4 linked regions of the Lonchura striata genome follow. The protein of the gene in region 4 purifies or fractionates together with the protein of the main gene of each other region. This does not show direct contact. Links are inferred from orthologs where the notes say so. Each region holds a gene or a part of one and is shown on either strand. Other genes may lie near its edges.

Region 1 (6,892 bases), on a different chromosome or scaffold from region 4:
TGTACAGAATGCACTGCCTCATTTAATCGTCGACTGCTCAAGTGAGAATGAATTGCTGCATGCCCCAAAATGGTCATAGCAGCTCTCAGATTGCCCCTGAGACAGAGGACTTAATTCAGACTTCTAACCAGCCTGGGACCTCAGGGCTTGCCTACACAGTAAAAACTGCAGCATGTAGAGGCAAACCCAGGCTAGTTTTAATAGCATTGGTAAGAGCAGCAGTAGAGACACAGCAGCACAGGTTCAGCAGGTGTGAAGTGAGGGGGCAGCCTACTGTGATAGCAGATGTGTTTTGATGGAAAACAGCCTGAAAAGTCAGGTTGGCCCATCTTTATTGCTATTGTTGCAGTGCCGGAGAGGCTGCAGGCTGGTTTTGGTTGGCTGGCCTGAGCCATGGATGCATCCTTCAGCCATGTCTGGGAACTGCTGCTTCCAGCAGAATACCTGCTCACAAGGAAGGTTCTTAACCACCAAATTGTTTGGGTTGGAAGAAACCTTAAAATCATCTAGTTCCAGCCTGCTGTGGAGAGGGACACCTCCCAGTAGACCAGTTTGGTCAGAGCCTCTTTCATCCTGGCCTTGAACACTTTCAGGAATGAAGCATCCACAGCTTCTCTGGACAACCTGTTCCCGTGCCTCGCCACCCTCACAGAAGAGAATTTCATCCTAGTATCTAACGTAAACTTCCCCTCTTTCAGCTTGAAAATACTAAATTCCTGTAGATGAAGACAGGAAAATAATCCTGCATGGCATTTCTTGGGTGTGGACTTTCTCTTTGATCCTCTTCCATGACAGCTCATGTGTAAGTATTAGGGTATGTGACAAGGCATATACCAGGATTTGAAATAAGGCAAAGCTGGAACTAAGGTGCTGTTTAGTAGTGTTACAGTTTGCAGTGCTTTTGGTGTAGGTCATCTCCCTCGCTCTGGGACTTTTACATCAGATGTCTGAGACCTGGAAAAGTTGCTCTTTCTGCTGTCTCAAGGGACTTTGTGCATGTGAATGAGACTTCTGTTCATTGCTCTATTTTGTAATCAGCACCCATTCTTTACAATGCTGTAGTTTAAACAAGAGACAGCCAATGTTTTCACTGTTGTGATGGGAATGCAGGAACAATGGGATACCCACTCTCTTCTTATGTTTTTGCTGGTGCCCATAGTGAGAGCAGGTCTGTGCAGTCCTTCACATGACCACAGATGTGCAGACATGGGAGGAGACAGGGATGTAGCATGGCTTCACCAGCAGCCCTGAACATGCTTCACCAGTGATGGCAAGGAGGAGAATTAAATCCTACCTTTTGTCCTTAAAATTCCTCCAACTCAGCTGTGAATCACATTCCTTCCTGCAGGGATGCACTCCAATCTTTCTAGACCAACCAGTTATTATTTTGGAAAATTGATGCCAATTGTCCCTTTACATACCTCAGCAAAAATAGAGGGGGTGGGGGCAACTTACTCTAGAGAGCAGGAAAAGCTGTTTTCAAGGTCCTTCCAAGCCTCTGAAAGGGAAAATATCCCAGTTTTTACAGGCAGTAATTTCAAGACTTGTCCTGGAAGACTATTTTTACTTTTAAATTTGCATTTTGTTTCCAAAGTTTTGCTATTCCTCCTTCTTGTGTAATGTCCTTTTGTTGTTAAAGAGGGTAAGTAACGTGTGATACATTTGGACACTTAGAGCTGTTCTGCGCCTCTGATTCAGCTGTTGTGACTTCTACCTGTGTGGAATTAAACCCCTACTTACGTGTGGAGGAAAAAAGTGTTCAGAGCTGCTCAGCTACTTTGATTTCTGCTTTTTAAACCCAATCTAATTGAAGCTTAATAAATTGGCATGGGATGAATAGAAGGATCCTAGGAAATAAATGGTAGCAAACTATGTGTCATGGCTACAAATGGGTTCTGTTTGGGGTGGGAAATGGTTTTTAATTATCTTCTATAGAGACTGTAGAGAGATGGATGGAACAATTGTTCAAATGAAGCTATTTCCATGAGCTCACAGGCAACGAGCCTTGCTTATCCAACCATGTAAAACAAAGAAAACTCAGGCAATTAATTTAACGAGAGTACTCAGGACATGATATCATTCTGAATGGATGAGCCTGAGAAAACAGCTATTTTGAATCACAGCAGGATAAGCATACAAAACAGTGTCCCTGTGCAACAAAATCCCCCTTAGCTGGGTGCCAAGAATTGGTCTGTTAGAGCCATGGGGTATTTGCCCAAACCTCGTCTTTTGGGATAAGCAAATTCCTTTTTAAATACTCACAGTAGTGGTAACTAAAACTTATGTGTGACTTGAATTGCTGGTGCTTGTGAGAAAGAAGGAACCGTTTCATACAGGCAAATTAAATACGTTCCTGGGACAAGTCATTACTAGATGTAGATCAACTACCTTGGCTACCATTAAATAGATATATCTTTTCTCTCTGGCATAGAAAGAGAATACAAACCACTTTTATTTCCAGTAAGCTTTTTTTTGTAGAATCTTACAATAACAGCTGGTGAAACAGCTGCTTTTCTGCAAGTAGTAGGGGGCTCTTGCAGTTGGCAGGAGAAAGATGCACTATAAGTAGCAGTATAGCAGTATCCAAAATACCTTTTTTTTTTTGTTGTTGTTGTTTTTTTTTTAGGAATTTTGTTTAGGTTCTGCTTGCACTAAGGGCTGTCTCTGGTTTGACTTCTCTCTCATGTCAAGCTTCTGGATTTTTAAAGCCCTTTATTTTTCCTCCTCCCTTTTTTTGCACTTTCCACTGTTTTCAGTTTTGTAGTTTACTGTTTAATTAGCCTTAAATAAAAATAACCTTTGGGTAGTTGTGGGTTTCTTGTTTTCTTTAATGAAAGAGCAAACCAATGAACCAGCCACACAGACCAGTTCTGGAACACAAAGCCTCATACCAATAGCTCCCATCTCCCTCACAAAGCTAATACAGATATCGAAAGCATCACTTTTCCTCCCTTCCCGGCTGGTCCAGGTTTTGTTGCTTTTGCCACAAAGGGGAGTGGAGACTGGAGCAGGACAGCCCAGGCCTGTGCCCCAGGCGGTGCCAGCGAGGAGCAGGGCAGCAGAGGCTGCCGTGTGTCGGCCAGGGGCCGGAGCGCTGCGCGGCAGGTGCGGTGACACTGCGGTGACACTGCAGTAACCCTGCGGTGATACTGCGGTGACCGTGCGGTGACCCTGCGGTGACACCGCAGTAACCCTGCGGTGACACTGCGGTGACCCTGCGGTGACACTGCGGTGACCCTGCGGTGACCCTGCGGTGCCGGGCACTGCCGGGCACTGCCGGGCACGCTCGGCTGCGCGGCCTCAGCCCCGGGCGCGGCCCCGCCGGCCCCGTGGCTGTGTGCGAGGGGGCAGAGGCGGGAGACAGGGAGCTCCTGGGGCAGCGAACCCAGCCAGGGGGCTGGAGAATCTCTCGTGCCAGGAATGCCCGAGGGAGCTGGGTCTGTTCAGCCTCGAGAAGGGGTGACTGAGAGGGGCCCTCATCAATGTGACTGCGTACCCAAAGGACGGGTGTCAAGAAGACGGAGCAGCCTCTTCTCCGTGGTGCCAAGTGATAGGACAAGAGACGTGGGCAGAAACTGATGCACGGGAAGGGAAGTTCCACCTGAATAGGAACAACTTGTTTACTGTCGAGGCGATCGAGCAGCACAGATTGCCCAGAGAGGTTGTGGAGTGTCCCTCGCTCGAGAGGGGGCAGGGGCCGGCCCGGCTGACCCAGCGCGGTCCCTCCAGCCCGGCCCGCCCGGCGGTTCCGCTGCCCCGGGGCGGGGCGGGGCGGGGCGGGGCGGCCCCGCCGCGCTGCGTGAGGCGCTGCCCGCGGGCCCGGCGCGGGGGCGGGGTGGCCGCGGGGCCGGCGGCGGGGCGGCTCCTTCTTTGGCCATGAGCGAGGTGCCGGCATTCGGCCGCCGCCGCCGCCTGCGGGACGCGGGGAGGGAGCGGCCGCGGCGAGGCTCCGCCGGCGGCAGCGGCGGGTGGGATGGCCCAGGCCCGGATCAGCGCCAAGGCCAGCGAGGGGGCGCCGCAGCAGCCGCAGCCGCAGCAGCAGTCGGGCGGGCAGCTCCGGGGCCGCTTCTACCGCTCCACCTCCATGGCCGACCGCTCCAGCCGCCTGCTCGAGAACCTGGACCAGCTGGAGCTCAGGTGGGGCCCGGCCGGGCGCTGGGGGGCCGGGAGCCGCTGGCCCTCCCCCGGCTGGGGGGCGGTGCGAGGCTTCTGGAGGGGACCCGGGGGAAAAGGCTCTCCTTCATGGGGGACAAAGTTTAAAAATGGGAGCTACTGCTCAAAGGTGAGTTAGCGTGGCCTGGCAATACACGAAAATAGGAATAGCTATAAGAATGTATGAAAGTGGACGTTTTTCAGAGAAAGCGCGAAGGGCTGTTTGGGATTTGTTAACCCTTCAGGGCGCGGGGAGCCTTTAGACGGGGCTGCGCTCTGGAGCTGTGACACGGCGGGGACGAGCCCGCGCTGCATCCTGACTGCCGTCCCACCCTGTCCCCCTGTCCCGCACCTGCGGGCAGGTGTTTTATAGGGAGATGCAGGAAATCCGAGGATAAAACATGGTGTCATTCAGGCTCTCGGAGACTTTGGCAAGCCTTTAAGCTGCAGTGCTGTATGCTGGCGTGTGAGGCTTCTTGTCTTCCAAACCTCCCTTCGCACTTACTGGTTCAGCTGTGGATGTTCTTGTAGTGTTTGTGTCTGCCTCCTCTCTGAGGTGTATTAAAAAGTGTCACTATAAAATGTGAACAGCATTGCATTCTGCAGCTGAGGCGTGTTTTTCCAAAGTTATTGTAAATACTATGTGAATTTCATAATTGTGCCAAGACACGTCCTAACTTTTTCTGCTACTTGACGTTCCCTAAATAATACCATTTTACTTTTTTCCCAGTTTGGCTTCATGAGAGATGATACCTTGCCTTTAATCATCTTCCCTGTCCTCTCAGCTCTGCTAAATTACATAGTGTCCTTTCTGAGGTGGATGGATGTGCAGAATGCCACTGATTCACCTCCTCTGGTACTGTTTCAACACACCCTTTCCTTCATTACAGCTGCATATTGATCAGCAGCTTTCATAGAGCCACCCAGAATGTTTCTAGGACTTTCCTGTAATTAAAAGAGCTCTGTGGGATGCAGGAGTTTTATTTCCCCTTTCTGCCTGCATTACTTTGCATTATTCAGGAGTGGACTCGATGTGCTGTTATATTAGCCTTTCACTTAGCTTGATTAAATCTCCTTGAAGTCCTTTGCAGACTTCTCTGAATTTGACTAAACAAAATCACTGTCTGCAAACAAGTCTCACTGCTTACATCCAGGTCTAGGCGTATGATGAATATATAATCAAAAAATTAGCATGAGAATATGCAAAAATGTGTTTTAGATTTGCTGAGTGACTCTGAAACAAAGCAGACAGTTTGGTTAGCCAGCAATTAAACCCTCAATTAAACTTCCCAGTTTGCTGTGGTTCTTTCAGACAGCCATAATTCTAAATGTGGAATAGTAATGAGAAAAAAAAAAAAGTCTAATTTGATAAAAGTCACTCAAGTCTTACAGTTTTTTCCTATTCACAACTAATCAACATGCTTCATTTCAAATTTATTTGAATGACAGGAGGAAAAACTTCCAAACTTTCTCCTTTTCCAGCTTGTTTGGTTTTGCTATAGACCCTCAAGATGTTGCTTGTTAATACAACCAGTGAAAATTTGTCAAACTGAACTACAGCCTTTAATTAAAACCCTCAACAATCCTCAGTTCTCAAGTTGCTTAAGGTCAGCTGAACTCTGAAGCAAGCCTCATCCCTCTGGAAGTCACAGGATCACAGAATGGTTTGGGTTAGGAGGGACCTTAAAGGTCCCCTAGTTCCAACCTCCTGACATGGGCAGGGGCACCTTTCAGTAGACCAGGTGGCTCAAAGCCACATCCGGCCTGGCTTTCAACACCTCCAAGTGTCCACAACCTCTCTGGGAAACCTGTTCCAGTGTCTCACCATCCTCATAGTGAAGAATTTCTTCCTAATACCTAATCTAAGTCTACCTTCCTTCAGTTTAAAGGCATTGTAAACTGCTCCAGTTTGAACAGCCTTCCTTTTCCTCCCTTTCTTTCCACTGTGAGAGCTCATTTTCCAACAGTAATGGGGTATTTTTGTACCTCCCTGATAGGTGTTTGCTGAGTGCATTTCTTCTGTATGGAAAGTGAGCAGGGAAGGGGAGTTAATTTGGGAGGGAGTGCCCGAGGCAGAGGTGGTGAGCCGGGCAGGTGGCACGTTTGCCCCTTGTAAGGGCTTGGACCTTCGTGTGGCTGTGACTGCCAAGATATCTCAGGAGCAGCTGGAAGCCAGACCAGAAGCTCTGTTTATGAGTCACTGCGTTCTGTTGGTTGTGTAAAGTGAAAACACAGTTTTAGGTGTGATGATACACGAGGTAAGTAAGATTCTTACTGGGTATTTTTTATCTTCATTTTTTGTACTTCTTGTCTTGTTGTTTGGATCAACCCTGTTCCGCCACCATTCATTTCAGTGTTCACAGGACGGCTTACCTGGGAGTGGACACTCAGCTGAAGAAGCTGAGGATGCCAGGATGAAACCCCCTGTTTTGTCTTCTTCCAGTGTGCCTGATTAGCTCTATTTCAGGAAAAAAAGCTGCTCCATTCTCGGATGTTTCTTATTTCCTTTGAAAGCTTATCTGGACCTCCAGCACGTGGGTTTTAATAGTGGGCTGTTTAAGTCAGTCATTAGTTTAAAGGACACAGTTATTGCAGCTGTCCTAAGAAAGCAGGTGTCAAGTTTCTCATCTGGAAACAAAAGCACAGCCTGGTCCACCTGTTTCTCAGGGGAATGCTCTGCTCATGTAAATGGTATGTAGCAAAAAAAGGCATTGCTCAGATAATTGCTCACAAACAGGGA
Region 2 (7,231 bases), on a different chromosome or scaffold from region 4:
TACTTCCAGAAACACCCAGAAAATGCTCCTGGTTTCTTGAGTTCTGGGGACTTTCCCCCAATGAATTATTTGATCAAAATATTCACTTCTAACCCAATTTTTTAAGACATCTCTCAGTACAAACTGCTTCCTGCAACAGAACTGGAGCATTATGGCCTGGAACTGGATGGTCTTTAAAGTCCCTTCAAACCCAAACCATTCCATGATTCTATGATTGAGCTGGAAAGCACAACCCAGGACAAGGGCCAGTGTCCAAAGCAGCACAAATCCTGGTTTTTTTAGGGGAAAAAAAAAAATCAAAGTGACAAACCACACTTAAATCTCTCAGCACTGAGCCTGGCACAAGTTACACCTGAAAAATTGATGTTAAAACAGGAGTCGAGCTGAAAAACGGGGTTTGCTGTGTGGACTCTGTGGAAGGGGTGAGGCTCTCCAGCCTGTGGAATTCTCCTGGCTCTGGGATTGGTGTGGCAGTCCGGCCGCTTCGAGGAACTTACCCAGGGTCTGTAGGATTATGCTCTCTAGAATGACCAGGTCTTGGGCTTGTTGCAGGTAAGCCTGGGGTTGAGAGGACAGGCAGGTTACTCATGGAGAGGCACTCGGATCAAGCCTGCACATTCCTAACACCCTTCTCTCCAGGGCAAAAATGGGAATCTCCCTGCACGGGGGGACTGGCACAGATTCCCTGGAAATGTTTGAGGCCAGGCTGGATGGAGCTCAGAGCAAGCTGGGCGAGTGGAAAATGACCCTGCCCGTGGCAGGTGGGTGGAATGGGATGGGATTTAAGGTCCTTCCAACCCAAACCATCTGGAGATTCTAAGACAGAGGGATCAGAGTGTTTGGGTGGGCCCTGGGTGCTGGTCCCCCACACTCCTAGGGTAGCACACGAGCAGTGCAGGAATCACCCGCTTTTCCTGCTGTTTTTTAATTTTCTGTAGGATTCCCTGGAAAAAGCTGCCCCTTCCAGCAGGACTCGCTGCTCAGCTGCAAGTAAAAGGGGCTGTCTGAAGAGATGAGGGCTCAGCAACGTTTTTAACCCACTGAGACAGATGCTGGGACAAACTGCTCCCACAGTGGAGCTCCTCTGCTCCACACCCTCCTGGGCAGTGCTCCAGGGACACAGGCAAACAGCACATCTGCATCCAGGTGTGCAGCAGAGAAGAGGCTTTGCACACAAGGGGGGAAGCCCAAATCTCTCTGCTGCAGGAGAAGCTGGATGGAGAAGCTGCCCCTGAGCACCCCGGGAGGGTGGATCCCAGGTGCCATTCCTGCTCCTCGGGCCTCCAGCGCTTACAGCACACCCTGAGGCTCCCTCCCCACATTTACCTCACTCTTGGTGTCCAGCAGAGGCTCCTGGGGGTGCAGACAGGCATGTGCCACCTTGATGACGTGCTCCAGCTTCCGAGGCTGCTCTTCCACCTTGGCTGCCAGGAAAAGCGCTGCTGGCACCACCGACTGTGGAGGAAAACACTCTGTTTGCTTAAAAAGCCACTAAATTCAAGATTAAAACAAACAAACCAGGTGGATTCTCAATATTCCTTCAGGGAATGAAGGCTGTTCAAATCTGGCCACCACCAGGAGAGACAAAAGGGTCCCTCTCCCTTCCCAAACCTCTTCCCAAGGTGGGTCCCCCTCCCAGGCAGCAGCAGGAGTGGGTCTGGGGGTTCCCAGCACCCCACCGCACCCCAAATCCCAGCACTTACATTCCTGTGGAACTGGGTGAAGGACTGCACCATGTAGAAGCGGTGCATGTACACGATGGCTGTGTTGATGGTGAGCTGGGAGCTGGGAACGGGGTTAAGGAAAGGCACAGAGACCCCCAGACAGGCCCAGGGGAGCCACTGGGACAGACCCCACATGCCAACAGCACCAGGACAGGACAGGCCCTCCCTGCACCCCAGCACAGCTCTCCTCAAGCCCAAAACAGGCTCACCGCGCTCCACAACCCAGCTGAGCCTTCACAACATGCCAGGAGAGCTCTCGCTGCTCCCAAAATGGGATCTCCTCGACCCCAAACAGGCTCTGCTCTCCCTGCTCCCCAGACGAGCCTTCCTGACAACCTGGCACGGCTCTCCTTGGTCCCAAAATCCTTTTTGGGATCTCCTTGGTCCTAAAACAGGCTCGGCTTTCCTGGCCACTTGTGGGACGAGCATTCACAACACCCCAGCACAGCTTTTCCCACTCCCTCGTTTTGGGATTTCCTCAATCCTAAAAGAGGCTAGGCTCTCCCCACTCCTAGGCCGGGGCTTCCCGACTCACCAGCACAGCTTTCCCTGCCCGTGAAACGGGATCTCCACCACCTCGAAACGGGCTCGACTCTCCCCGCTCCCAGAATCTCCTCGATCCCAACGCGGGCACGGCTCACCCGGACGGGCCTGCCGCTCCCTTCCAAGCACCCCGGCACAGCTCTCCCCTCTCCCGGGCCGGCCAGGCCTGCCCGAGCCTCTCCAACACGCCAGCACAGCTTTCCCTGCGCCCGAAACGCCATTTCCCGAGCCAAAAACGGGAAAAGCGGCTTTTCCCCGCCCCGAGAGCCGGGCCGGGCCTTCCCGACACCCCAGCAGCGATCTCCCCGAGCCGGGGCCGCGCTCTCCTCGATCCTCACAAGACCCGGCCCTCCCCTCACCCCCTCCCGGCTCCCTCCACTCCCGGGTCTCTCCTCACCCCCTCCCGGCTCTCCCTCACTCCCTCCCGGCTCTTCCCACTCCCGGTTCTCCCCTCACCCCCTCCCGGCTCTCCCTCACTCCCTCCCGTCTCTCCCCGCCCCGCCCCGCTCCCACCCGCGGCCTAGCGCGGCCTAGCGCGGGCCGGATACACGTTGAGGCGCTGCCCCATGTCTTGCAGCAGGTTGGCCGCCTGCTGCCGGTACGAGAGCTCCTTGTCGGGGTCGAGGCCGGCGCGGCGGGATGGGCTCCGCTCCAGCTGCTCGCGGCTGAAGTACCAGCGCCGCCCGGGCCCGGCGCCGCCGCCGCCGCCCGCCGAGGCCTCCATGGCGGCTCTGCGCCCGCGCGGGGGACGCGGCGTGCGCACGCAGCGCGGCGACGCGATGACGTCAAGCGGCGGGTGGGCGGGCGCGGGGGGGAGCCGTTGGCGGCGCGAGCGTTCCAAAGCAGGGAGGGACGTTGGAGGGGCGGGGCCTGAGAGAGCCCACGCCCCTCATTGGTTGACCACGCCCCTCGCGGAATGGTCACGCCCCTCACGGCTGGCCCCGCCCCGCCCCGCCGCGCTTCCCCTCACGCCGTGAGGGGCTCCGGTTTTTCGGGGGGTCCCGCAACGCCCCCGCACCTTAGGGCGGCCCCTGTGGCCCCACCGCCAGCTCCTCGGCTCCCTCTTCTACGCACTGACACCCGAGGAACCCCGGCATACCGGTGTGGCACTCCACCCTCCTCACCGGCACCTCAATGGACCCCTCCGGTATGTCCCCCCCACCCCCGCCACTCCCCCGGGATCACGGAGCAGCGGGATCCCCCCACCCCTCCAAGATCCGGTTTTCCCGGGGTCCCGCAGCCCCCCGCACCCCAAGACGTTGCCTGTACTCCCCCCTCAACCGATTTTCCACCCTCTTTCCCTTGCCGGGACCCTCCCCTCCCCACCGGGACTCCGCTGTGTCGCCCACCGGGACCCCTCCTCACTGGGTCTCGGTGTTTTCCCCTCTTAGGATCCCGGGCCCCCTCCCAACCGGCAGCCCCGTGTGCCCCCCTGCCCCACAAGCCAGGCCACAGCTCGTATCCAAAGTGTTTTATATATAATTTATCTGTACACACGAAGGACAAAGTACCTCAGGTCTGTGCTGGGATGAGGGGGCGAGTGCTCCCCCCACTCCCCCCGGGCTGAGCCCCCCCCCCAACCCCAAAACTGCTTCAAAAAAAAAAAAAAAAAAAAGAAAAAAAGTCACTTCATTAGGGTTTTTTTTTTTTTTTGCATTTAAAAGGGGGAGGGTCTTCCACCCTCCCCCCCCTCCCCGCCACAGTCCCCCCGGAGGGAGCTGGGACCCCCGGGGGGTGAGGGGGCTGCGGAGATGCTGGGCCTGCGCCTCCCCACCCCCGCAGGCGGCACTTCAATTTGGCACATGGAGGGGGCTGGGGACCCCCTGCCCCCAAAACCCCCGCAGTCCCTTTTCTGGGGGGCCCCATCTCCCCTCTTTGGCACATGTGGGGTTTCTGCAAAGGGATGGGGGTTACCGTGACCCCCACCCACAAAAAACACCCCGGTGCAGGGCTGGGAAACACCCCCTAAAACAGCCACAGAGGGGGGCACAGGGTTACTTCCCCACGCCCCCCAACCACCTCCTTGTGTCCATTTCTCCCTTTTTTTTTTTAAATATGTGTATTTGGGGATTTTTCCTTTTTTTTTTCGCCTGAGCTCGGCACAGGCTGGGGGTGTCCCCGGCATGGGGGGGACACCATGGGGACCCCCCTAACTACCCCCAGGGCCCGCATTGAGGAAGTAGGTGGTCATCTCCCCCTTGCCCTTGACCTTGACCAGCCCCCGGCACTCCAACACGTAGCCCTTGGCAGCCAGCACCTGGTACAAGTCTGTTGTCACCTGGAGGGGGGACACAGGGGTAAAGGGGGAGACCTGGAGGGGGGGTCTCTGGGCAGGTGTCCTGTGTCCCTCCCACCCCTGACTCACCTGGATGCGGTCGGGGACCCCAGTGCTGTCCATGCGGCTCGAGACGTTGACGGTGTTGCCCCAAATGTCGTACTGGGGCTTGCGAGCCCCGATGACCCCTGCGACCACTGGGCCCATGTTCAGGCCTGGGGGTACATGGTTGAGAGTCAGGGATGAACCCCCCACACTTGGGGAAGAGGGAAGGGGAAAAGAGGAGTGAGGGGGTGAGTTTGGAAAAGGAGAGAGTGACATGGAAAAGAGGAATGTGGAGGGGGAAAAGAGGAGGTGATGGGGAAAGGGGAGATGAGAGGGGAAAAGGGTGAAAGAGAGGTGAGGGGGGCAAAAGAAGGGGTGGTGGGTGAAATTGGAAAAGGAGGGAGAGATTGGAAGGAGGGGTGAGGGGAAAGGGCAGGTGAGAGGGGAAGATGGGGTGAGGGAGGGAACAGGGGGTACAAGAGGGGAAAAAGGACAGGAGGGGAGAAAAGGGGGTGCAAAAAGAAAAGGGGTGTGAGAGAGGAAAATGGGGTATGAAAGAGAAAAAGAAGAGGTGATTGGGAGAGAGGAAAAAAGGGGTGCAAGAGCCGCCAGCACAAAGCCATGAACAACAGTGTGGGATGGCTGGAGGTGCAGAGGGGCGTGTGCAAGGGGTGTGCAAGGGCTCACCAATCTTCATCTGGAAGTTGTTGAAGGAGTGCTCGTTGATGTACTTCATCTGCTCCATGAGGTGCATGGCGTAGTCGGCCAGTGCCGCGATGTGGCTCCGGCCCTCGCGGTCGTAGGTGGCCGCGTTGAGCCCCGATGCCGCCATGTAGGTGCTGCCAATGGTCTTGATCTTCTCCAGCTGCCGGTACTTCTGCTCGCTGATGATCTGGGAGGACAGGCTGGGCTCACCCCCGCAGCACCTCAACAGGGTACCCCAACCCCGTCCCATGGCTCCGTGAATGCTGTTCCGTGGGTTTTCCAGCACCTCCTGCACCCTGCACTGCGGCTCCACAAATGCTGCTCCACAGCCTCTCCAGCACCCCATGACATCCCCTGCCTCCTCCATGGTGCTCCACAGCCCCTCCAGCACCCCCTGCACACCATCTCCTGCGCCCTGTCCAAATATGGTGCTCTGCAGGCTCTCTATATCTTGTGCATCCCATCTGCACCTCATTCATGGTGCTCCACAGCCTCTCCTGCACCCCATGCACTCCATCTCCTGCACCCTTTCCCCAAATCTGCTGTTGCACAGCCTCTCCAACACCCCATCTTCCTGTACTTCATCCTTGTGCACTCTATCCACAGTGCTCTACAGCCTCTGCATCCATTCCTGTGGCTCCATGAAAGCTGCTCCATGCCTTCTCCAAGGATGACATACATCCTGTACCTCATCCCCACTGCTCCACTGCCTTTCCAGCACCCTGTGACCACATTCCCTGGACCACAGCCTCATCCCTGCTGCCCCACAGCCTCTCCAGCACCACACGAACCCTGCCCACTGCACCCCACCCCTGTGCACTTCACCCCTATGCACCCCCTTGCCCCTTCTCTGCCCCAGCACCTCATCGAAGTCGGCGATGATCTCGTTGAGCAGCCGCAGACACTCCACACCCTCGTTGTTGGCTTCCAGCTCCACATAGAACTCAGAGAAGTTGCTGATGGAGGCGAACATGACGGCCACGCACTCGCAGGACTGGTAGTAGAGTTCGTCGTTGCGCCGCTCCCGTGCCAGAAAGTGCGCGGCCACGTCCTTGGGCAGGATGTTGTGCAGCAGCCGCCGGTTGTAGGCCTGGAGCTCCTCCATCTCCTCTTTCTCACCCGTTGCCTGTGGGCACACACCCAGCTGGGAGCTGCCACAGGACCCCACAGCTGCCCCAGCAGCACAGTGTGGGGTGGGGGTTGGTCCCAGCCCCATGGTCACCCCAGTGCTGGCATGCAAGGAAAGGGTTGCTCCCAGCCCTGTGGCCACCTTCAAGTCAGGGTGTGGGGACGGGGTTGGTCCTGGCCCTGGACTGGTCCCTGTCCCATGACTGCCCCAGTTCTGGGGGGCAGGGAAGGGTCAGTTTTGGTCTCAGGATGGAAGGAAGGGCTTGGTTCCAGCCCCACAGCCATCCTAATCCCAGGGAGTAGGGGAAGAGACAGTTCCCATCCCATGGTCACCCCAATCCCAGGGAGTAGGATCAGTCCCAGAACCACAACGGTTCAGGGAGGGGAGTCAATCTTGTCTGAGTATGGGAAGGCCCATTATCACCCCAGTCCTGGGGTGCAGGGAGGGGGTCAGTCCCAGTCTCAGGAGGCAGGAAGAGGGTCGTTCCCAGCCCACCACAACTTGGTCATACCTGGAGCTTCCAAAGGAAGTCGAGGCGGGCGGTGGACTCGACCTGCTGCGCATGCAGGTACAGGGCGAGCGCAAACACGGCCAGGACCACGGGGGTCACGTAGCGCAGGGCCACCTTCCCCTCTGCCGGGCTGCAGGACCCCCAGGACCCCTGAGGTGGGCTGAAGGACCCGTCCCTGCCCACCCAGAGATCCCAAACACCACCCAGACCCCAAAGATCCACCCATTCCATGGACACCAAATCTGCACTCAGACCCCAAAATTTCCATTCACCCACCCAGGGGATCCTCAAACGTGCAC
Region 3 (7,534 bases), on a different chromosome or scaffold from region 4:
GGTCACTTTTTGTTTAAGCTATTATCTGCATGTATCTGCTCATTTGCTGTTTGGTTCCAGAACACTGTTACCAAAGCAGCCACCTGTGCAGTTATTTCCTCCTTAGGACACCTCTGTTCTACATCAAATACTTTCATTTTCTAGCTCACAAATGCAGAACTCTGCAGAACTCCACAGAACAGCACATGGGGTTTAAATACAGCTGCTAGTTCTGGTCACATCCCAGCATGATCTGACCACTCTGCCTGATCCCAAACCTTCGGTATCACAGTTCAGCCAGTACTAAACCTTCAATATAAATGAGCTTTCTCGTGCTGTGGATAATGTGGTTTGAAAAGACTGTCCAAAGGATTTTTTTTTTTTTTTAAAGCAGGCTATCCTCCAAGCCAGTACTCCATCACCTGTTATAAATGCTGTAACTATAATGGCAGTGCTTCCTAGAGGAAACTTCTTTCATGAGCAACAATGACTTTTAAAGAGGCTCTTGTTAAGCTATTCAGAAGACTCTGCAATTGTCACTGCGTGTTCATCCCAGTGATACTCGCAAGAGTTTTGAAGTCCACTGTGTTATACCTCCTACTGTAAGACCTTCTTTTGTGAATCTATAAGCAAGGTCAGCTATGAGATCAGACAAGATGACTTTAATTAGTCCAAGTCTTAAACTTCCAAGGATGGAAGAGTTTAATTTATACTGTCTACTAAGACAATAACTTAAACTGTATTTACTGTTGTCTCTTTCTTTTAACAAGCAATTTTGTTTATATAAAAATGCCAGCTACTTGTACAGAGCTAAGTAATTTTCAAAAATAGTGTTTTTCTATTAGTATAGATCACCTCACCCTGTTCAGTTAAACCTTTTCTTTAGGCAGGTTTTCTGTCTACTCTTTTCATATATGAATAACACCATTATTCTATTGTTCTCTTATTTCATAAGCAGATGATTGTAAAAACTGGTTGTAAGTATTAAGATCATGTATGAAAAAGGGTTTTGTAACAGGTGTAGGTGCTTTTTATTGCTGTTAGGAATCAATGCATTAAAGAACACTTATAGATGGAAGTAAGGCTGTATGCTCACGCTATAGTTTATATTGAACTTTGGACAAATGTACGTACCAGGATAATTATAATATAGGGATTAGAAAACCTTTCACAGTAAGTATGAGGCTAACTGTATAACAGAATGGTGCTGTGTATTAGAATCCAGTTTTGCTGATCACCAATTACTACTATTGGTAACTTTGGACTGCTTTTCCACCACTTCCTGAAAGTGCCCTCAAGAAATCTTAGTGCCTCTTTCATATATAGTGAGCTTGATATACTCAATTTATCAGATCTGCTTCAAGTCTTGCACATAAAAAGTCTGTTTGCTCATACTCCTGAATGACTTTGGTCATTGCAATTAAAATGGTTGTATAAGCCTAACTTACCTGCATCTTTGCACAGGAATCTGACCAAAAAAAATACCCATGTGCATATGGTAGAATTGAAATTCTTTAGAGATGCTCAGTGAGCACATCTTTTATCTCCTAGCATGATTTCACTGGCTGTGAATATGTTCTAAGCTTACAGCCCATTCTGTATGTGCTGGAGCCACATGCTAAATGGAAGTAATGCTTCAGTAGCTACTATGAACTCAAAATCCAGATGACATATACTTTTTAAAGCTGAAACTTTTGGCCTAGATTTTTTTGGCTTAGACTTTTATTTTAATATCATGTGACCTGAGATTCAAAACCCTTTTAAAATGGTGGTTTCCTTCAATACACATGCTTTAGAGCATTCTCTGTGTTCTTACACTGGAGACATATGTAAACATAGGATATTTCAGTTTAGCATATGCTCACCAGTGATCAAAGGAGAATGTCCTCCTAGTTCTGATGTCAGTATTGAATAAGCCCTATTTAAATGGCTAAATATCCTTGACTTCTTGAAATGTCTTATCTTTGTTCCTTCCTAAATGTTACATATTAAAGTGATTAGTTTTACCAAATTAATACAATCTAAAATTTTTATAGGCTGTTGCAAACAGGATTTAGTCCAGTGTAGGGCTATTTGTGTTAGCTGAGAGGATTCTTCAGAATGCATTTCCACTGTATTGTCTGAGGCTACTCATATATCAGAAGGTCCCCAGCTGTATAAATATTTTTGAGATTGATAATAGGAATGTTCTTCTAATGGAGTGGGCAAGAAAAGATACACTAATTGTTGAGAGAATAAAAACATGTATTGGTCAAACTAAAGAGGAAATAATAGAATTATTTTGAAAACTCATTTAAAGAAGTGGAGGGGGAAAATAACTGCTGTAGATTTAAACTAGGACTATGTTTAAAAATTTGTACCACAAATTCAGCTTTCATAGCTTTTCAGCTATATAGATACTGCCTTAGAGAAGAAATACCTGAAATTACTTCCTTAAGAAACACCTGATTCTAAGAGCCTTTATGAAATTATCTTCTAAGAACAGTAGCTTTAAAAAAATTAGAAATATGCAGTTTAGTATGGACCATATAAGAATTTAGTAACATATTTCCTTCCTCATGTTCCTGTTCAGGCACAAATAATTGACTGCATTTGGGAAGTGTTAAAACTACCTTTTTATGAAAATGGTTTCTTTGACAGATCAGTCCATTAAAAACACCCCCCCTCCCCCACTGAAATACACATTTGAGAAGGTAACTTCAAACCATATTGAAGAATAAAGCTTTTTAACTGTGTTTACAGTCTTTGCTTTATAGAAGACCCTAAAAAACTGTTTCCTAGCTTTCTTGCTAAATATTATATTTTGGTCTTCAAACCAAGCCACTCACAAGAATGCACTTCCATTTCCAGAAAGCAGATCACCTTCCTTTTCCTGCTCTTTTCCTATGTCTTCATATGCGGTGTCTTCACTAGTAACTGGCCCTGAAGGTTAATTTTGAGGAAAGCTGCACCATTTCTATATTCCCTCCCCCACTACTACTAATCTCTGCTGAAAAACATAAGAAGGGGTGAGAGAGAATTTGTTTTTTTCCTTTCTTAAAAAAAAAGTGTTTAATATCTGAACCCTTTTTCAGATATTGAACACTTTTATTATCTGAAATGCTTGTTTTTGTAAAAGGTGTACTCTAAACTCAGCATGCTCTCTAATGACATTTTGTTGTTTTGTTTTTTTTTACAAAATGCATCTTTTTAATTTTTCATGTGGGAAAAATACCTTATCTTATGGAAACACTTCCATATCAAAGCATGATATCCAAGTTTAGTGCTCTCTAATGAATTTGATGCTGGGTTTATCTCAGAGAAACTTGAAGTTAAGTGGAAGGGTACATTTGTAGATGCATGAGGTAGTTTTTTTATTAGTTTGCTGATGTTTTCTTTTTTGTTTGTTTTTGAACAAGAAGCTGTTTCCATGCTATACAACTGCACCCTGAAGAGCATAACAAGAAATGGATGATAGTTGTCTATAGATAAGTAACTATTTCTGACAGGCATATAATGTAGCTGAATAAGAAGATGGACTACATAGCTTTGCAGATAATTTAAAAATAACAGAGACAGTTCAGCTATTCATTTTAATTTCTCTTGGATGGGTATAGGAGATGTTGAATATTTAATGATTTTTCTTATATCAGTTACAGGCGACTAAACCAGAAAAAAAAAATCTACTGGAATCACGAGGGCCTTTATTTCTGATGTTGTGAGCTGTTTTGTGACTCCTCATTGCCACGATTCTAAAAATAATTTGCCAGGGCTGCCGGTTTTCCCATGTGAAAATACAGTATGGGGGCAGTTTCTGCAGTCAGGGTTTCTTGCACAGAGAACCCCTGTCCTGAATACTTCCGTGACTGATCCATTTGCACTTCAGACGCATCTTTACTGATAGTGCGTCTGCCTTGATTTGTATTTTTTGTGCCGAAGTTTCCTAAGACGAGTCAACTTTCGTCCTCTAACGGTAAAACAAAACCAGAAAAATATTTTTCATTTTTTTTTAAGCCAAACGATGGCTTCTTATTCCGGTGTGATAAGCTTCCAGAAATTCCTGCTCTTCCCCTCCTTCTCCACGTTTGATTCTGCGAGACTTGCAACGTACGGGGGTAGGGGGAGTTTCGCGATGTTCAGCCGGCATTTGTTACTTGCCGGTCAGGGTAACTCACTGAATTTCTAATCTCGCTGATTGCGTTCCTTTGTGCCCCCAATGCGAAATACAATTAACTCGCCGGGGCTGCTCCCCAGGGACTTTCGTCCCTCGGGCCCGGCCTGACGCGGCCGTAGCCCGGGCCCGAGCGCTGGGCCCTGCAGGGGCCGGGGCTGCTCGGTGCTGCCCCGCTTCCTTCCGGGCAGGCGGCATCCCGCCCGCGCTCCATCCCAGCGCCACAGGGACACGGCTCCCTTCCCGGCGGAGCCCTCGGCACAGCGCCGGGCCCGGGTCCCGCTCGGGGCCGGGGTCCCGCTCGGGCCGGGCGGGTCCCGCTCGGGCCCGGGTCCCGCTCGGGCCGGGCCGGGGTCCCGCTCGGGCCCGGCGGGGGCGGGCCGCTCCGTGCCCGGGCGGGGCCGCGGGGCCGCCGGGAGCGGTGACGTGTCCCGAGACCCCGCCCCCCGGCAGGCTATATAAGGGGCGGAGCTCACGCCGTCGGTCTTTTTCGCTCCGGGTTTGCCGCCGTCGCCGAGCAGGTGAGGCGCGTCCGCCGGGCCGGGCCGGGCCGGGGTCCGCTCGCCCCGGAGGCCCGGCGAGCGCTGGGCCGGGGCGTGCAGGGGGCCGAGGGGAGGGAGGGGCCGGGGGTGCCGGCGGGAACCGAGGCGGACGGGCGGGCAAGGGAGCGCGGGGCGGAGGGATGGCGGCGCATCGTTCTGCTCGATTACCATGTGCACACCCCCGTTGTCCGCGCTGAGGGCGGCGGAGCGGCGTGCCCGGGCGGGCGTGGGGCAGGAGGCGCCCGGCAGCCTCCCCTTGCGCCCCGCGGGCGGCGGCGCGGGGCCGTGCCGGGCGGGGCGGCGGGGCCGCCGGCGGGAGGGGGCCGGGGCACGAGTGCAAAAATGGCCGCTCGCCTCGCCGCCCGCCGCCAGCGCCACAAAATGGAGGACGCGGCGGCCCGGGCGGGGTGAGTCACACAAAGGAGCGGGGCGGCCCCGCCCTCCGGCTGCCCGCCGGGCCCGCTCGCCGCCGCCCCGCGCCCCCGCCGCCGCCGGGGTAACTCGAGCCCGGGGAGGGGGCGACGCGAGGGGCGCTCCGAGGGGCCGCGGCCCGCCCGCCTCGCTCCTCCCCTCCCCCGGCGGGGCGGGGCCGCCATCCCGGCCCGGCCGCCCGCGTGCGGCTCCGCCATCGCTGCCCCGAGGCCCGGCCCGAGGCGTAACCAGCTTCTTCTCGGGAACCTGCAGGTGTCGATTCTCTTTTGCCGAAAGAAAGAACTCAGCTAACATCCAAAATGGGAAAGGAGAAGACCCACATCAACATCGTCGTCATCGGCCACGTCGATTCTGGCAAGTCCACCACCACCGGCCACCTCATCTACAAATGTGGGGGCATCGACAAGAGGACCATCGAGAAGTTCGAGAAGGAAGCGGCTGAGGTGGGTGGGCGCATAGCAGCCAGCAAAATTCTGGGCTGCAGGAATGACTAGCCCCTTAATTGAAAAGTGAACCTGCAAAGCCTTCAGTGGCCACGGGGAGGCGGTTCGGTTGCCTCTGCCCCAAGAGCTGAACAAGTGGGTCAGTGTTGCGTGGCCACAGGGCGGCAGCTGCGTTGCAGTTGTCCCCGAGGTAGAACAAGTGTTGTAAGTGTTCCATCTGCCCTTGTGTTAATTGCAGAAACTCAGGTTGTGAAGTGTAAAGCAAGTCAAGAGAAGGTAGTCTAAAGCTACATCTGAATAGTAACATCTCGAATCAGGTTAAATGGCCAGATACAAACTACATAGAAGGATAGTTGATAAAAGTCTTAATTTAAAAATCTGGGAGTTTTACTGATACTGTTCTTTTTCTGTGTAATAACAGCACAGGTCATAAGAACATAGAATAAAATTTGACAAATGTTTATCAGAGTGGAAATTAAGGTGTTGATTATTGCAAGGATTGAAGTAGTAGGAGGACTTAAAATTGTAGAAGATACCTGATAGTAGGACTCAGGCTCAAGAGCTCTATCATAAAGATGCTTTAGTGAAATTAACAAGCTGCCAAGGAGTCTGAACTGTCAGCAAGTTCAATAAGATTCAACAGTTGGCATCTCTCACCAGTAGTGCTAAGCGTATCTTGTTGCTGTTTTTATGAGCAGCAGCGTTTTTCAGTGTTAAGCCAGTTACTATTAATAGATTTTGCTCTTCAGTCAGTGTGATCTTTCTGAACTAGTTGCAGATACAAAACCCCTTCTTTTTAATGGTAATAAAAATGGGTTTTTTTCTGACTGTAGATGGGCAAAGGTTCCTTCAAATATGCCTGGGTCTTGGACAAGCTGAAGGCTGAACGTGAGCGTGGTATTACTATTGATATTTCTCTGTGGAAATTTGAAACAAGCAAATACTACGTCACCATCATTGATGCTCCTGGACACAGAGACTTCATTAAAAACATGATTACTGGAACTTCTCAGGTATGTAAAGAAAGTACGATTTGGGGGGTTCTGGAACGTTGTTCCTTGGTTGCTTAGGGGGCGGTTCCTGTATTACTTTGGCATACACGCAAGCATTATAGTGAGGTTGTTTTTTCTTTTTTTTTTTTTTTCAAAGGCTGATTGTGCTGTCCTGATTGTTGCTGCTGGTGTTGGTGAGTTTGAGGCTGGTATTTCCAAGAATGGGCAGACCCGTGAGCATGCCCTTCTGGCCTACACCCTGGGTGTAAAACAGCTGATTGTTGGTGTCAACAAGATGGATTCCACTGAGCCACCCTACAGCCAGAAGAGATATGAAGAGATTGTCAAAGAAGTCAGCACCTACATCAAGAAGATTGGCTACAACCCAGACACTGTGGCTTTTGTGCCAATTTCTGGTTGGAATGGTGACAACATGCTGGAGCCTAGCTCTAACGTAGGTTTGACATTTATTTCTGTTAAGGCATGAAACTAGGAAGACTGTTAAGTCCAATTATGCAATGATAAAACGCACATTTTGTAATAGTTATGTTTGGGAAGTGCTAAAGTTCAAGATAAATCTTAGCAGTTACAAAAGTTCTTACTCTGCAGCAGTAAATTGAAATGATGCTAAGGGATGCTGCTTGGGCTTTTTCAGGCTTGGCACCATTAAATTTGGCAGTCGGATTAACCTGGGTTTGTTTGCATTACAGATGCCCTGGTTCAAGGGATGGAAGATCACCCGTAAGGATGGCAGTGCCAGTGGAACCACCCTCCTTGAAGCCCTGGACTGCATCCTGCCACCAACTCGTCCAACTGACAAACCTCTGCGTCTGCCTCTTCAGGATGTCTACAAAATTGGTGGTATGTGTTCTCTGGAATGCTGCTCACGTGCCAGCAGCAGCAGCTCTTTTCCAAGTCAAAAATTAGAATTCTTGTCTCGAGTGGGGTTTTTTCCCCATAAGGGCATATATTTACTAAGCTGAATAATAAATAATG
Region 4 (7,146 bases):
CTATGGCTTTTTGTTTGTTTGGTTTGGTTTTGGGGTTTTTTTTAATTTTTGGTCCAACTTAAATGGATATTGGCAGGTTTCGCCTTTATATTAGCAATAGAAAGTTCAGAGCTGATTCTGGAAGCCATAAAATTTTAAAATAGCCTCTTCTTACCAATCGTACTGTTCAGAGCCATTATTTAATAAAACATGTCTTGACAAAAGCATGCCCATAGCCCAAGGTCCTTCAGCCCCTGTGACTCAGTAGTCACCAAAGTCTGAATGTGACAATGGAAACTGATGTGCTCCTTGGAGAGCAGGGCTTTACACAAGCAGCAAAATCCACTTCTACCAGTATTTTGTTCCTTCAAGGCCTCTGCTCAACCTTGTTGTGTGGAATCAGTTTAGACAATTGCATGCCACCTCCATACTTCTCTCTCATAATTTCTGTTGGCAAAGGAATTTCCCCTTACTTTATTTGCTAAAGCTGTTGGTGCCTAAAGGACACTCCACTTCTTGCAGGTTGTTGGGAAGTGTCAGTGACCAACATGTCCTGTGTGAAATGCTCCAAGACCTTTGCAAAACACCCCCAGAGTCTGTGGTTTTTACAGAGGTACATGAGAACATTTTTGCCTGAGAAAGTATACTTTTCTACAATATGCAACAAATAACAGAAATTAAACCAGCCTTCATTTCAGTCGCTCCAGAGGACATAGACATGGCTTGAAGAATGTAAAGATTTTTTTACAAAGCCACTAATAAACCTTCTGATCTTCTTTTCCCAGGTATAATTATTCCTTCTGAATGCTGCCTGTAATGCCTAAGGGAATGTGAAGTACAGGGGTTGCTGATGTGGTTGAACCTTTCCATCAAATTAAGTCTCTTCTATTTCATTGTTTAGCATCTTACCTGTCCAGAATTTACCTCTTGAGTTAAGAAGTGTTGTTTATTTTGATCATTTTTATCCGAGTATGTGCAGCAACTGGTAGGCATACAGATATCTGATATTAACAATAGCTTATTCCATTACTTTGTATCATCATCTTCATTTGTTACAAGATATTTCATGAACTATTTAATTCTGGATTTGCAAATGTGAAAAGTGCTGAATTAGATAAAAAAGGTGCAGAGGATTTAATAGCCTAAACCTACCCCAAAAGATTTCTCAGAATGCATCAGAAATATGTTCTTAAAACCAGCTGTGATATTCTCATCAAAATAAAAATGTCTCTGCTCCGAACCATGCCAAGACCTCTACAGAGCCTGAACTCCTTATTCATTCTACCGAGGATCATTTTGGCATGATCATTTTGTGAATAGAGATGCATATGGAAACTTGATATCACTATTGTGCAGAAAGATATTGTCCAAAATATCCTGATGAAAACAGAAAGGAATTAATCCTTTTTGTCTTAGAGAGAGATTTATATTTGGGGAAGATACATTTCAGATTCTTAGAACCATTCCTTGCCTAATGTTTCTTTTGTGAGGAGCACAGAATAAGTTAAGTTGGTAGGGACACACAAGAATCATTGAGTCAAACACCTGGCCCTACACAGGACACCCCAAGAATCACACCACGTGCCTGAGAGCATTGTCCTGATGCTTCTTGAACTCAGGTTTGGTGCTGTGACCACTTCTGACTGTTCCTGTATGGGCCCTGGCTGCTCAGGCTTGCCCAAAGCAGGTCTGGTAATAATGAAACTATCTCTTCCCAGAAGATTTCAGCTTTGATTACAAGAGGATAAGGGATAGAAAAGTGAGCACCTCCCACAGTTTTTCAAAGGTTAAACACTCTCATTGTTAAATATTTCAACTTAATTTCTCATTTGAATTTCCCTAATTTCCACTTCCACTACTTGTAATAGCATTGCTTTCCTCTATGAGATTAAGGAGTGGCTTAATATCTTGCATTTCTAATTTGTACAAATCGCCTCTCAATTTCTTCTAATGAACAAAATATACTAAATGTCGAAGAGCAGATAAATGGAGTTAACCTCATTCTAATCTGGCAATAGTAACATTTACCTCTTAAACTTCACCACAAAACAAATCAACTTATTGTATTTCCCCTACACTTCCAACTAATGATAGCCTTATCTTACCTTTGTAGTCTTTTAACCCTCTTCTACCTTCCAGAATTGTTTTAAACTTGAAGACCAGGACAAGAGTCCCTCTAGAGTTCACTATATCCCTTCTTCCACATCCATGGCCTGCATGAGACTTTTTGTTACTTCATAGCACAATAAATTTGTCCTAAGCTCCTTGTCTCTCATAACCCTCATGGGTCCTTTTCAGGGCCACTGGTTCCCAGCACAGCCTGTATTTAACCCCACATTTTTTGCTTACAGATATATGAGTTTGCACAATGGGATGTTGGAACACAGCTCATTTAAATGAGCTGTACTTACCAAGTCATCTAGCTCACATTGTATTACTCTCCTCCCAGTATCCCTGAATATTTTGCCACTCATTTTGAAACATACACTTTATGAATAGCAATTTCATATTGACAGCAAGCTGATGAAAATGGTGACTAGCATAAATCATAGTGTGTGCCTTCCTCTGGAACTTCCTCAGAAATACCTTATGCAACATTGATTCCTGTTGATTCCTTTTTACTTTGAAATGCCAGCCACTTCCCAACCCCAGTGGCACACCTCTTCAAGTGTTGCACAGTGCTAATTCTTTAATCAAAGCATCATCATAAGCAGAAGATAGCAGTCATAGTGTGGTGATACATTCCCCCCATACCGCATTAAATAATACTCCACAGCAAAGAAAGAAGGAGAAATGTCAAAATAGGAGGGATAAAACATCATTTTTTCACTCAGACTAGTATAACAGCTGAGCACAGAGGGTTTGACAGCTTCTAAGGGCCCCCTTTTCTATGGGGGAAAGCAGCCTCCTGAATCAGGTGGCAATATTGCCAGATATGACAACAGCAATACTGTTATTAAATGAGTGACAGAATTGGGTAGAAGGGATGACAGATGAGTTTTGCTCAGGAAAATAATTGATAAATGTTGGGTGACAAAGTCTTGTATCTTTACCTTTGTATGAATTGCTCATAAGACACCAGCAATCTCAGAGAGAAGGGCAAGTATCTGTCACTCATAGAGGTGCTGACAGAGCTGCTGTTACCACAGTGTTAAGCCAAAAGCTGATTCCCACTGGAGCTGATGAGTTCAGGCATAGAGAGACTGCACAGGATTGCCCTTACCTTCCTCCAAATCTTCCCAGTCCTAAAAGTTGTAGCAGATTAATTTATCCTGAAGGAGTAGTTCACCCTTCAGATTAGGAGATGATAGGGCAGACAAAATGACTAGAGGACTGCAAGACAGTTACTCTGTCTTATTGTATTCCTGCCTCCTATGGTGTGATTTTTAAAATCTCTGATAGACCATGTTTGTTTCTTTAGTCATTCTACCCTTTTCTTCCCTGTCTGGCTTCCATTTCTCTTCTAGATGAACCAACGCCTGGCTCAGTGGGACTCTTCTGCCTTTGATTCACTAGAGGTGATATAACAATAGCAACTTAATTAGTAATCTTCAGTTATATATAGTGCTATATATTGCCACTTTAACTCAAATAGTTTATAGCTTTACATAGGAAAACAGATTTTCCTATGTAAAGCTCCACTTAGTTCCCATGTATTACAACTCCCTGAGAAATATTGTTCCATATTCCAAATTTTAATTGTACTCTAAAGAGTGTATCTCTTGATTTGATTTAAAGAACTCCTATGTTATGTATGCTCATTTAACAAAGACAGCACAACTCCTTTTTAATGCAGAAATTCTTCTCTTTTCAATCAATATTTTTACACCACTTTCAGTCTCTTTTCTTTCCTTCACTCCCATGTCCCAGTTCAACGATTTCTAAGCAGCAGGTATATCAGAATAAATTTTATCCTGATCCACTTGCTCTATATTTTCTACTTTTTACTTGGACATATTCAGCTGGATGAACTGTGAAGTTACTGAACTTGGAGACTGTGTGAATAGTGCGGGGGAGCGGAATAGGACGGCTGAAGAAATAAACTGGGATACCGCAAAACTACACCTCCCAGGACGCCTTGCGGCCTACCGCATGCGCCACCGCGCCGCGAGTGGCCTCACGAAGACTACAACTCCCAGGGTACGCTGCGGGCACTGCGCATGTGCAGGTGTCGCTGTCTCCCCGCTCCTCGGCTGCCGGGCGGACGGCCTGCGCGGTCAAGATGGCGCTCACCAGGTGGGTCGGGCGGGCCCGCCCGGGCCGTGAGGGCGCTGCGGCTCCCCCGGCCGGGCCGGGGATTCGCCGCCGCGCTGCGGGGCTCCGCCGACGGGAGCGGCCGCGGCTAGGGAGTGCGCGGGGGGGCCGCAGCCTCTCCTGGGCAGGGGGCCCGCCGGCCGGGCCGCGGCCGCAGAGAGTGCGGCGAGGGCCGGTCGGGCCGGGGGAGCCCTGGGGGTTTGGCCGTGGTCAGGGCGCTGCTTCTTTCGCCTGTTCACTGCGGGTAGAAGGAGCTCCTCCGCTTCGGTTGGGTCCGTGGGGTTTTGTCGAGGTTTCTTCACCGTCGGAGAGGGCGAGCGGTCTTTGTTGCGATCTGTAGTGTCTCGCAGGGCATGGGAGTGCAGTTCCGGTGGCTGCACCGGAATCCCAAGTTTCTTTGGATACTTTCTTAGTAAATGCACAAAAGGGCTGTGTAGACAAGAAGAGATAAAAAAGGGGAAGTGAAGAAATTGGGGTTCGACTTGCCCTTGGCAGGGAGGTGTCAGGGGTAGAGGAGAGAGGTCTTTGTCAGATCTCTGTGGATGTTTGCCTTGAGAGAAAGGAAGAACGAATCACTGGGACTAGAGACACAGGAACATAATATTTCTTTCTTATTCCTAGTAGTGTAAAGAATACCGGTGATATGTGGGATTCCTGTTGGAAAATGGGCATTGCCACTCTTCTATTCAAGAAAGATGTGAATGCGTGTGAATTTAGCATTTGTTTTTGTAGGAATCTTTCAGAATGCTGAGAAAGCACACATTGCAACTGTAATCTCCGAAGTTACTGAATCTTAGAAGTTGCCCTCACATTTATGAGTGCAATGCTCAAGTTTCATAAATTGTTTCTTAATCTATAGAGTGCTTGTCGAGAAAGTATTAACTTAGCAAGAAGTTCAGTCAAGCATAGTTGAGTGCCTGTGAGTGAAGTTACCAGAATTAACTTTCTATGTAATTCTCTTTTGGTTGCTGTCCATGGGTGTCCAGTTTTTTGCCAGCTCCAACCCAGCTGTCCCAAGATCAGCTAGAACTAGAAGAAAGAGCAAGAGCTCAGAGATCCAGGCAGGCTGCTCTGGTCTCCTCGAGAAGGGAACCCCCCCCCTATGGTTACCGGAAAGGATGGATACCTCGTGCACTAGAGGTAAATATTTAAATTGATACAGTAGTAATGTGTCTGCTAAAAGGGAGAAAAAAATTCTGGAGTAGAAATAAGCTCTGAGCACCTTGAATGTTGCTGAGAATTGTGCAAAGCCTTACAATGTGCATTATCCATACTGCTTGATAAACCTTTGTGTTGGGAGAGGTTCTAATCTACTGGATTCCTTAAAGCATTTGATGGTAAACAGGATGGTCTATGTCTACTTCTGTTCAGAGATTGTTGTGTTGGAATGTAGAAATACATCTGTAGCCCTTTGGATTTACAGTCTGTGAACACAAGGTTTCCCTGAGAAAAACATCCATATTGTTTCTCTGTTAGTGTTAAATACACATTCTGGATTATAGCTGAAATAAGTGAATGTGTGTGTATCAGAGACAAGATGTTCTGTGTGTGTGTTCTGTTCAAAAAGATACCTGCTATTGGGGGACAAAATTATTACAGTTGGAAGGAAAATAAAAAAATAACCAAATATTTGTTGTTTAAGTATGTTATTGGCTAAAAGATTTTGGACAATGTTGTGTGTTAGTAGTTGTAACCCTTGCCAGTTTAATGTAATCTAAACTGGAACTGCTAAAGGTAGAATAAAAATACAGATGTATTCTGATTATAAAACAGTTTTAGTACAGTCTCTCACTGTGAGCCAGAAAAACCTTGCAGTTTGAAGTGATCCTTGACAATAACTTCTGAGACCTGTTCTGATGAGTCACAAGCCAATGCTCTTGGAACAAGCAAGCTGTTGAAGTTTTATTACAGTAGTTTATGTATGATCCTATGTTGTTTCCAAATACCATAATTTCATCAACTTGTAATAATGTTGCTCTCATTTATGTTTGAGTGCCATTTTTATAAATCCAACACTGTTCTGTGGTGGTCCATGTACTTCAAACAGTAGTTCCAGTGGTTCACGGAAAGAAAACGTTCTTCTGCAAGTTCAGCATTTCATCATATGCTGCATATGTATGATGTCAAAAATTATACTTCCATTATACCCAGTGAAGGTTTCCCTTCCTACACTGTTGAGTACTAAAGCTAGTATTTTAGTGCTTATTCTTTCTTAATGTTAATAAAGAAATATTTTAAGAAGCCAGATGCTGAAGGTTTGCAAAGACTTTCCAACACCACTTGGCCACAAATTAATGCACATCTCAAAAAGCCTGTTAAGGGCTCCTTTCCGCTTCATAAACAGGTGCAAATTGCAGTTAATGCTTTCAAAGCATAACCTTTGTCCAGTGCTCCTGGACTGCCATTGCTGTTCTTTTTACGTTAAGAGTTGCAGAAAGAAAAATTTAAAAAATTGAAGAATGACTGAATTTAGTTCTGGCTAATACTTTAACAACTAATTGTTGAATGTGGGACATCCAGTGGAAAACTTCCGATAGCGGAAACTGTTTAAAGGAGCATTTGCAGATGGGATAAGCACACTGTCCGTGTTTGGAAGTGTTCTGCTTGGTCATTTTCAGTCTCAGCCCACTCCGTCCTAGTGGTGGTAACTACTTGGTCACATGGTGAGCATGGAGGAAGATTGATGTACTCAAGGCACCCATTTTTATTTTTTAATATGTTTTGTTGTTAGCCATGCCATTGCAACAGAGAAAGGATAGATGCTCATGCTGCTTTAAGCAAATGCTTCCTCCAAAGTGTTCCATTTGAAACTGCAGCCTGAAGTTGTTTTATGAATGGTACCACTGCATCCTCTGTGGTACTGAGACAGGGTGATCTGGTTTAAGAAGTCTTTTAGTTATCTGTTTATTAAAT

Evidence for each region.
Region 1: the proteins of SNW1 (region 4) and BAG2 purify together in Homo sapiens (affinity purification with mass spectrometry; 3 studies listed by BioGRID and IntAct, with this or other methods). This does not show direct contact. The link is inferred for Lonchura striata from reciprocal best matches to the Homo sapiens genes SNW1 and BAG2.
Region 2: the proteins of SNW1 (region 4) and CCNT1 purify together in Homo sapiens (affinity purification with western blotting; 3 studies listed by BioGRID and IntAct, with this or other methods). This does not show direct contact. The link is inferred for Lonchura striata from reciprocal best matches to the Homo sapiens genes SNW1 and CCNT1.
Region 3: the proteins of SNW1 (region 4) and EEF1A1 purify together in Homo sapiens (affinity purification with mass spectrometry; 3 studies listed by BioGRID and IntAct, with this or other methods). This does not show direct contact. The link is inferred for Lonchura striata from reciprocal best matches to the Homo sapiens genes SNW1 and EEF1A1.

Annotation. Positions count from the first base shown.
Region 1 is NC_134605.1:89,198,146-89,205,037, reverse strand, and holds the start of BAG2 (BAG family molecular chaperone regulator 2), read left to right. Parts: upstream 1-3,880; 5' UTR 3,881-3,973; coding exon 3,974-4,137; intron 4,138-6,892. UniProt on the Homo sapiens protein: Co-chaperone for HSP70 and HSC70 chaperone proteins. Acts as a nucleotide-exchange factor (NEF) promoting the release of ADP from the HSP70 and HSC70 proteins thereby triggering client/substrate protein release.
Region 2 is NC_134629.1:6,118,335-6,125,565, reverse strand, and holds the start of CCNT1 (cyclin-T1), read right to left. Parts: upstream 3,002-7,231; 5' UTR 2,992-3,001; coding exon 2,816-2,991; intron 1,786-2,815; coding exon 1,704-1,785; intron 1,456-1,703; coding exon 1,327-1,455; intron 559-1,326; coding exon 498-558; intron 1-497. Other genes in the region: ADCY6 (adenylate cyclase type 6), read right to left, coding at 4,417-4,545, 4,633-4,757, 5,275-5,479, 6,155-6,418, 6,933-7,062. UniProt on the Homo sapiens protein: Regulatory subunit of the cyclin-dependent kinase pair (CDK9/cyclin-T1) complex, also called positive transcription elongation factor B (P-TEFb), which facilitates the transition from abortive to productive elongation by phosphorylating the CTD (C-terminal domain) of the large subunit of RNA polymerase II (RNA Pol II).
Region 3 is NC_134605.1:83,911,801-83,919,334, forward strand, and holds the start of EEF1A1 (elongation factor 1-alpha 1), read left to right. Parts: upstream 1-4,531; 5' UTR 4,532-4,650; intron 4,651-5,355; 5' UTR 5,356-5,402; coding exon 5,403-5,546; intron 5,547-6,379; coding exon 6,380-6,559; intron 6,560-6,695; coding exon 6,696-6,992; intron 6,993-7,248; coding exon 7,249-7,399; intron 7,400-7,534. UniProt on the Homo sapiens protein: Translation elongation factor that catalyzes the GTP-dependent binding of aminoacyl-tRNA (aa-tRNA) to the A-site of ribosomes during the elongation phase of protein synthesis.
Region 4 is NC_134608.1:21,873,484-21,880,629, forward strand, and holds the start of SNW1 (SNW domain-containing protein 1), read left to right. Parts: upstream 1-4,129; 5' UTR 4,130-4,201; coding exon 4,202-4,215; intron 4,216-5,219; coding exon 5,220-5,373; intron 5,374-7,146. UniProt on the Homo sapiens protein: Involved in pre-mRNA splicing as component of the spliceosome. As a component of the minor spliceosome, involved in the splicing of U12-type introns in pre-mRNAs.